2 linked regions of the Oryctolagus cuniculus genome follow. The protein of the gene in region 1 purifies or fractionates together with the protein of each later gene. This does not show direct contact. Links are inferred from orthologs where the notes say so. Each region holds a gene or a part of one and is shown on either strand. Other genes may lie near its edges. The genes, in order: SEC13 and NUP160.

Region 1 (4,595 bases):
CCTGCCACTTGCGGCCTCCAAGGCTGCAGAGCCGGGAGGGCTGGGCCACCTCTGCCATGGCCGGCCCCCTCCTACCTGTCCTGAGGTCCAGCTGCAATTTCAGATGCCCAGCTGGCTGGCGCATGCTGCACCCTCAGCACCATGGTCCGCACCCCACCAGACGGGGAGCCCCCTGGAGCCACGGTCTGAGTCATCTGCACTTTTTTTTTTTTTAAAGCTTTATTTATTTATTTGAAAATCAGAGCTACACAGAGAGAGGAGAGGCAGAGAAAGAGAGAGAGGTCTTCCATCTGCTGGTTCACTCCCTAACTGACCACCATGGCAAGAGCTGGGCCCATCCGAAGCCAGGAGCCAGGAGCTTCCTCCTGGTTTTCCAACACAGGTGCAGGGGCCCAAGGACCTGGGCCATCCTCCACTGCTTTCCCAGGCCACAGCAGAGAGCTGGATTGGAAGTGGAGCAGCTGGGGCCGGCGCTGTGGCATAGCGGGTGAAGCCGCTGCCTGCGGTGCCGGCGTCCCATATGGGTGTGGGTTTGAGACCAGGCTACTCTGCTTCCGATCCAGCTCTCTGCTATGGCCTGGGGTAGCAGAAGATGGCCCAAGTGCTTGGGCCCCTGCACCCACATGGGAGACCCAGAAGAGGCTCCTGGTTTCTAATCCGAGCAGCTCCAGCCGTTGCAGCCATCTGGGGAGTGAACCAGCAGATGGAAGACCTCTCTCTCTCTCTCTCTGCCGCTCCTCTCTCTGTGTAACTGTGACTTTCAAGTAAAATAAATAAATCTCAAAAATAAAAAAAGTGGAGCAGCTGGGACTTGAACCAGTGCCCAAATGGGATGCTGGCACCACAGGTGGTGGCTCTTCCGGCTATGCCACAGCGCCCGCCTGTCACCTGCCCTCTTGAATCCCGAAAATCCCCAAGCACAGCGCTTTGTCAACAGAAGGCAGGGGCAACCGCGTGGGGAGTGAACAGTGCACACTAACGGGCAGGGGGCGCTTCCTTGGCCCAACCGCTCTTCCCTCAAACTCCTGCACAGCAGAGGGGACCGAGGAGGACGTGCTGGCTAGGGAGGGTTTCTTGGCTTGCTCAGCCCGAGAGCTCAGGCATGAAGTCTGAGGCCGTGCCCTGGGCCAGGGGCATGGGGGCCCTCGGGCATAGGTAGGCCGTCCATCCCAAGCAGGCTGCCCGCTGTGGCTGCAAAGCCTGCCTGCCGACCGACCGGCATCTCCCCACTGACAGCTTCCGCGCGGCCTTAAACCACACCCCAGGGTGGGTGCAGTCTCACCCAGAGCTGGCAGGGAAGGGGCTGTGCCCCAGGGGAGACAGACCGGCTCCAGGGGACCCCGCTATCTTGTGTGACTTCGTGGCTCTAAACCAAGCGTCGAGTTCGCTGCAGTCTCTCACCCAGAGCTAGCAGAGGAGGGGGCCGAGCCCCTAAGGAGACACGAGCCCCAAGCCGATGTGAAACCCCCGTCCACCGGCGCCCCCCAGAATGACCCAGGAACAGCCGGCAACCCGGACACTTCCTGCAAGCCCGGTGGGCTCGCGGGCTCCGCCTGCTCTCCTGTGGGACCAGGCGCTCGCTTGGTCGCTTGTCAATCAAAGTTTCTTTACTAATAAAAGTTTCTGCCTCTTTGCAAGTTGTTTCCCGGCTTTTTATCTGTCTACGAAGCTGAGGAAAAGAACGCACAAGCCCCCGGAGGCGTGGAACGAAGCCGCGAGCAGGGCGGCAGCAGGGCAGTAGAACGGGGGCCATGCGGAGCCCGCCGGGTCCCTCCGCCCACCCTGGGCTCCCAGCGTGGGCCCCGCGGGGCGGTCACCGGGGCACTGAGAGGCTCCAGGGGCCGCGTGGGTGGACGCTGGCAAACCCAGGAACCGCAGACGCCACCGAGAACGCCGCGGAGGCCAGAGCTGGCTGCAGGTCCGGCAGGGAGCGCCCCTTCCTCACCTCCCCAGCACCCACCACGGCCGCCGGGTGAGCGGAGGAGGGAGTCCCGAGAGGTAGCCGCATCCTAGGTTAGCAAAGCACCAGAGACCGCCAGCGCGCCAACCGTGGGTGCTTTAGCGGCGACCCCGACACCTGGAGCCGCCCACAGCTGAACGTCACTACGAGTTCCCGACGCTACTCAGGGTAACTCAGCACCCAGCCCCTTCACTAGGGGCCCGCGGCGTGGGCGTCCCACATGCGCGCCGGTTCGAGTCCCGGCTGCTCCACTGCCCATCCCGCTCCCGGCTGATGCCCCCAGGAAAGCAGCGGTGCACGGCCCACGTCCAGGCCACTCTCGCAGTGGATTCGCGAAGCGCCCACCACCCCGGAGGCCCACTCCGCGTGCACCTGCGCGGACTGGCGGCCGGTGGCTCACCTCCAGCGTCCCCACAAACCGCAGCTCGCGCACCGGCCCGGCAGGGCAGGCTGACCGCCGACACGCCCGGAACCACGGGCCCGGCACACGCTGGCGCCTGTGCTGTTTCGGCTTTGGTTTCCAGCGGCTGCGGGGAGCCGAGGGCAGCAGCGAGGCGCGGCCCGCAGAGTTCCAGGAGGTCCCGCGCCGCCCCTCCCGAGGGCCCGCGGGGCCCAGGCCCGGGGTCCCCGCGGCTCGAAGCGGTGCCGAGGAGCTGAGCAGCCCCAGCACGCGGGCCGAGTCCAGGAACCCAAGACGGCCGCGACACCGGCCCGAACGCGGCCCCCAGACTCACCATGGCTGCGGCGGCTGCGGCGGACCCGGGCCTCGGACGTGGCAGCTCCCGGCGGCGCCTCCAGCAGCTCACTTCCGGCGCCGGGTGAAGGCGCCGCGCCGGGCCGGGCTCCGCTGCTTCCGGGCAGCAACACGCTCGCCCCGCACGAAGGTTCCGGGCATTCCGTATCGCCCTCTCCCGGGGCCCCGCCCCTGGGGGGCGTGGCTCTGATAGCCGTGGCGATCGCGAGGGAGGGCGGACTCTGGCTGCCGTGAGGTGGCCGACGGGGTGATGCTCACTGGTCACTCCTCCGGCCCACCTTGCATGAAGCCAGGTGACTGCAGAGACTCCCCACTGCCCCTTCCTGACCCCCTGGGGCCCCGGGCGTCCATCGGGCGTAGCCGACCCTCGGGAGGGTCGCAGTGCCTCCGTGTCCTCTGTGAGAGCCCCAGCTGGACATGGTGGTGGGGGGCTCCCGCAATGCCTTGACCCGGGCAACCTCGGGCAGCCCCCCTCCCCGCCCCCGGCTTGTGGTTGTACCCAGGCTGGAGCAGGAAACAGACCCGGAGGACCTGTGGGGTCTCCCGTTCTTTAAGGGGTCAGCCCTGTCTGTGCACCTGCAGCTGTCCCCCACCCCCCCGGCCTGCCCTGGCCATCAGGTCGAGTTGCCTCTCTCTGAGCCTGACTTTGTGGCAAAGGGGGACACGGGGCCTAACTGGAACTAAAGGAATTTCTTGGTGCCCATAGGTAGGGTGGCACAGGCAACAGACCTGCACCTTGGCAGCCAGAACACCTGCCGGTGGGATGGAAGGGCTCGGTGGGGTGGTTTAGCATGGCGAGGCCGGCTCGGAGACAGCGGGGGGCCGGCCTGGGTGCTGTGCGCACTCCTGGCTTCCCCCGGCCACCGTCTGCGCTGCTCGCCCATAAGTGGGACCCGTGACACCTCTTGCACACCCCTTGTCTGCAGTGCTGGGGCCAGAAGTGTGTCTGGATTTTGGAATATTTGCACACATATAAGGGTGCTTTGCAGACGGGACCCAAGGGTGAGCCCGTAACCTGGGGGTCATTTTATAGAGCAGTTTTATTAATTCTCTGCGTCAGTTTCACGGTGTGGCATTTTCCGCGGTGGCATCGCGGTGGCACCGGAAATGTTTTGGGCCCTGGAGCGTTTCTGATCTTGGGTTTTCGGAGTGGGGACGCCCAACCCGTAAAATCCCCTCTGAAAGTTGACGTTGGGGTCAAAGGAACCTTGGCTGTGGAACCGGGTCTGGGGTTGGATGGGCCCCCTCCCGGGCAGGGGATGCCACCCACAGTGGCATCTCCCTCTGCTCAGTCCCAGACCCCAAAGCAGGCCATTCTGTCCCCTCCAGCTGGGCTTCCCCCTCCCAGCCCCACTGCCCCCAAGTCTCCTCCTCTTTCTCCTCCTTCCTCCCCCCAGTCTTCCTCTCTGAGAAGCTCAGCCAGGCCTCAAGGCCGGTTAAGCCCCCAGAGGTGGGTGTTCAAAGGTGTGACGTGGGGCGGGGAGGCAGGCAGGCCAAAGTGCCAGGTGGACTCCCAACCTGCAGGGCGGGGTGGGGTGGGGCGGAAAGAGGCGTGGGCTGTGCGCGAGTCTGCGCCTCCGCGCGTGCGTTTATTGCTATTGCTTAGTGTAGAAAAGGCAGACAAATCCCAGTGGTTACAAAGGGCACAGCCAGAGATACATAGAAACAGAGTGTACAGTAAGAGCACAGTCTCTCCCCAGCCCCGCCGGCCCCAGAGCCCCCCCGCTGCGCCCTCGCCACTCCGCTGTCAAGTCCGTGCACACCAGAGTTAGCAAGTGTGGCAAGGCCGGAGGCACGCCCGGGAGGGGAGCACCGCACTGCAGGACGAGAGGAGGCTTCGCCCCCACCAGCGTCTCCGTCTCTGAACACCAGGAGGGCGCG
Region 2 (3,803 bases), on another chromosome or scaffold:
AGCTGAATCAAGAGCAGCCAAGAAATTTACATAGACTAAAGGTGACAGTTGCCAGGGCAGGGGCTGAGCTTCAGTAAGAGCAGGATTCACAGTGAGACGCTTATCTTGTAAGAGCTCTTCTGCCGGGACTCAAGGGAATAGTGCCCAAGAAAGAAGGAAACATCTTTCCTACTTGAAAAAAGTTAATTAAATGGAACGAAGGAAATGAAGGAAATTTGAGATGGTGAAGCTTGGAAGGACTTTATAATCAGAACAATTTTAATAAAACAAGACCATTTGAGAGAAGCAGAAGAGATAAACTAGGAGCTAGAAGGAAAATAAACTAGTTGATTAAAAATTTTAATCTTAATTTTTGCCATAAGAAAAAGTCCCTTTCATCATTCTGGAGTAGATGGGATTGCAGCAAAAGGTAGAAAAATCTGAGTTGACAGTGGCTCATGTCATTTGGGGGTGGTGTTGTAGCACAGCTGGTTAAGTGACCACCTGCAATGCAGGCATCCAGTGGCGGAGCACTGATGCAAGTGCCGGCTGCTCTTGCTTCTGATGCACCTGGAAAGCAGCCCAAATATATTACATTGAGTAATACTCCAAATAAATGGACTGTCAGGTTTGGAAATACTTCCCTTTAACAGAATCATTTGACTGTTGTTATGCTGTGTTTTGTAACTACATAATATGGCGATGTAGAATATGAACGTGATCTGAGTTTGCATATCTAAAATTTTCAAATTCGGAGTGTTCACTTGGGCAGTTTTTTTTAAACAAATGCCTCTCTCTTAACAGGAAGACCTCTGGAGATACATTGGAGCTGGTGGAGGAGTCATTGGACATAAATCTGTTGAATAATGCAGTTCGTCTCAAATTCCAAAATTGCAGTGTCCTGCCTGGAGGGGTCTATGTCTCTGAGACTCAGAATCATGTGGTAGTCTTGATACTAACCAATCAAACAGTGCACAGGTTACTCTTCCCGCACCCTTCCCGGATGTACAGAAGTGTAAGTTGGTTCAGTGTAATATCTTTTATTTCCCAGATTACTCTGGCTGTCCCAGATTTAGTGCTCGAGCAATATCCTTTGGAACAGAAGGAAATGTGGGTTGCTTGTTAGCCCTCACCGACCATACTTTGATAGTTGCTATTCAAAATGACCAGACACATTTTAAGTTGAAGAAATAGTTTTCATTTTTAAAAAAATGTTTTTCTTCTTAAGCTCAATATTTTCTTCCTTTAAAAACATTTTCTTAACAGAGAGCAACATGAGTGATTTTGATCTAACAGATTTTTCTTTCTAATTGCTCCGCAGGAGTTGGTAATTGAAAGTCAGATGCAGTCAGTGTTCACTGACATTGGCAAAGTTGACTTCAGGGATCCTTGCAACTATCAGTTAATCCCAACGGTTCCTGGGCCAGCTCCTAATTCTGCCGCCTCAGCAGCCTGGCTTAGCAGTGATGGAGAGGCTCTGTTTGCACTGCCGTCTGCTTCTGGGGGCATCTTTGTTCTTAAACTACCTCCTTATGACATGCCTGGTAAGAATGGGAACTAAGCATGATTCCACTTTGAACAAGGACTGTTGCCATTTAAACAGACTTTTCAAGTTCTGCCCACGGTCCAGTGCACGCAGGTGCTTCTGTAGTATCCCTAAATTGTTCCTTCATCGCTAATTGCGCTAATGAATCTCTAATGCTTTCTTTTGTGTGTGTGTGTGTGTGTGTGTGTATGTGTGTGTGTGTTTTGACAGGCAGAGTGGACAGTGAGAGAGAGAGAGAGACAGAGAGAAAGGTCTTCCTTTTGCCGTTGGTTCACCCTCCAGTGGCCGCCATGGCTGGCGCGCTGCAGCCGGTGTACCGCGCTGATCTGAAGCCAGGAGCCAGGTACTTATCCTGGTCTCCCATGGGGTGCAGGGCCCAAGCACTTGGGCCATCCTCCACTGCACTCCTGGGCCACAGCAGAGAGCTGGCCTGGAAGAGGGGCAACCAGGACAGAATCCGGCGCCCCGGCTGGGACTAGAACCCGGTGTGCCGGCGCTGCTAGGTGGAGGATTAGCCTATTGAGCCACAGCGCCGGCCTCTTTTGTGTTTTAAGAGAGCAAGATTTTATGTCATAAAGTAGCTTATTTGATGTCCTTTAGTGTAGGTGAGTTGACTAGTTGTCTACCATCAGATTGAGGTGTTGTAATTAAATTAATTGAAATAAGTTTGACTGCTGAGACCCCACTCCAAGTCATCACTAGCTCCTGCCTGAATTCTTGCTTTATAGTTTCCTATATATCTCCTTGTACCTGTCCTTAACCCCCCTCAGCAACTTGTCAGGCAGACTGGGAGATTTAAAACCCAAGTTGGGTCCTGTCTGCGTTGCTCAAAGCTATCAGATGACGGTTGTTCTTCATCTCACTCTGAAAAACTCCAGCGTCCTTCCAGTGGCTTCCAGTGAGTTCCCCACTGCTGCCTCGAGTGTCTTTCTCTGCACCTGCTACATGCCCTCTTGCAATGCCTTGAACAAGCCAATGACATTCCTACCTCAGGGCCTTTGCCTGGGATAGCCAGTGCTAGCTTAAGACTTCAAGCAGTGTCACTTCAGAGAGACTTTCCCTGACTACCCTTTTCAAAATTGTAAGCACTTAACCACCACACACCGACACACCCAAACATTTTCTAGACTCCATTCCTGTTTTATTTTCTCCACTTATTATCAAGCTACCTAATTTGTCTCTGCCATGAGGACAGGGGTTGTGTGTTTTATTATTGTTATTTTGTTCACAGCTCTGTCTCCAACACCTAAAACTACTTGGCACATGAAAGATACCCAGTGATTATTTTGGAAAGCATGAAGCTGATTCTGTTTAGTGGCATTATGGGTTACTCCCTATAAATGAGAAATTTTCTCTGGGATTCTAAAAATAGTATTTTTATTGATCCAGTCGTGATTCAGAATATTATAGATGTGATGTATAGGTAAGGTACATCATACAAGTGTTAGCATAGAAATATAGAAGCCCATCACCTTATAAACACCTTGTTTATGGTTCCATCACTCTCGCCTTCGGTTCTCTCTGAGTCTGCTCATGAGGTGTCTTGGGTATCATTGCAGGGATGGCGTCCGTTGTGGAACTGAAACAGAGTTCAGTAATGCAGCGATTGCTTATCGGCTGGATGCCAACAGCTATCAGGTGAGTGGTATCTGACAGCTCGGGCGGGGTTCCCCATTTAGTCTTTCTGCCCTGGTCAGCATCAGTTAGTGCTTCCAGTTTTATTCCAAGGGAAACACTCTAACGGGAAAGAGAAGTCTGCATAACATCATGTCCCACCTGAGGAAAACCTCCCTTCAGAGTCTACTTCATTTGCCATTAGACACCTTGCAGAAGCTGGCTTCATGTTTATTCTCATGATGTGCACTTTGGCGCTCTGCCCTGACTTAATCAAATCTGCTTTTGAGCAAAATCATTAAAAATAGAAAGTTTTTGATGATTAGAATACAAAAAGGAATAGTATACAGTTGTTAGACAGTCTTAATTTTTTTTTTAAGTTAATTTATTTGAAAGGCAGAGTTACAGAGAGGCAGAGAGAGAGAAGTCTTCCATCCGCTGGTTCACCCCCCAGATGGCCACAACGGCTAGAGCTGTGCTGATCCAAAGCCAGGAGCTTCTTCTAGGTCTCCCACACTGATGCAGGGGCCCAAGCACTTGGGTCATCTTCTGCTTTCTCAGCCCATAGCAGAGAGCTGGATCAGAAGTGGAGCAGCTGGGACTTGAACCGGCACCGTTATGGGATGCCAGCACTGCAGGCGGCAGCTTTACCTGCTACGAGTTA

The links.
Region 2: the proteins of SEC13 (region 1) and NUP160 purify together in Homo sapiens (affinity purification with mass spectrometry; 4 studies listed by BioGRID and IntAct, counting the BioPlex papers as one, with this or other methods). This does not show direct contact. The link is inferred for Oryctolagus cuniculus from reciprocal best matches to the Homo sapiens genes SEC13 and NUP160.

Annotation. Positions count from the first base shown.
Region 1 is NC_091441.1:116,544,698-116,549,292, reverse strand, and holds the start of SEC13 (protein SEC13 homolog), read right to left. Parts: upstream 2,955-4,595; 5' UTR 2,698-2,954; coding exon 2,695-2,697; intron 1-2,694. UniProt on the Homo sapiens protein: Functions as a component of the nuclear pore complex (NPC) and the COPII coat. At the endoplasmic reticulum, SEC13 is involved in the biogenesis of COPII-coated vesicles.
Region 2 is NC_091432.1:18,177,136-18,180,938, forward strand, and holds part of NUP160 (nuclear pore complex protein Nup160), read left to right. Parts: intron 1-783; coding exon 784-994; intron 995-1,300; coding exon 1,301-1,523; intron 1,524-3,084; coding exon 3,085-3,163; intron 3,164-3,803. UniProt on the Homo sapiens protein: Functions as a component of the nuclear pore complex (NPC). Involved in poly(A)+ RNA transport.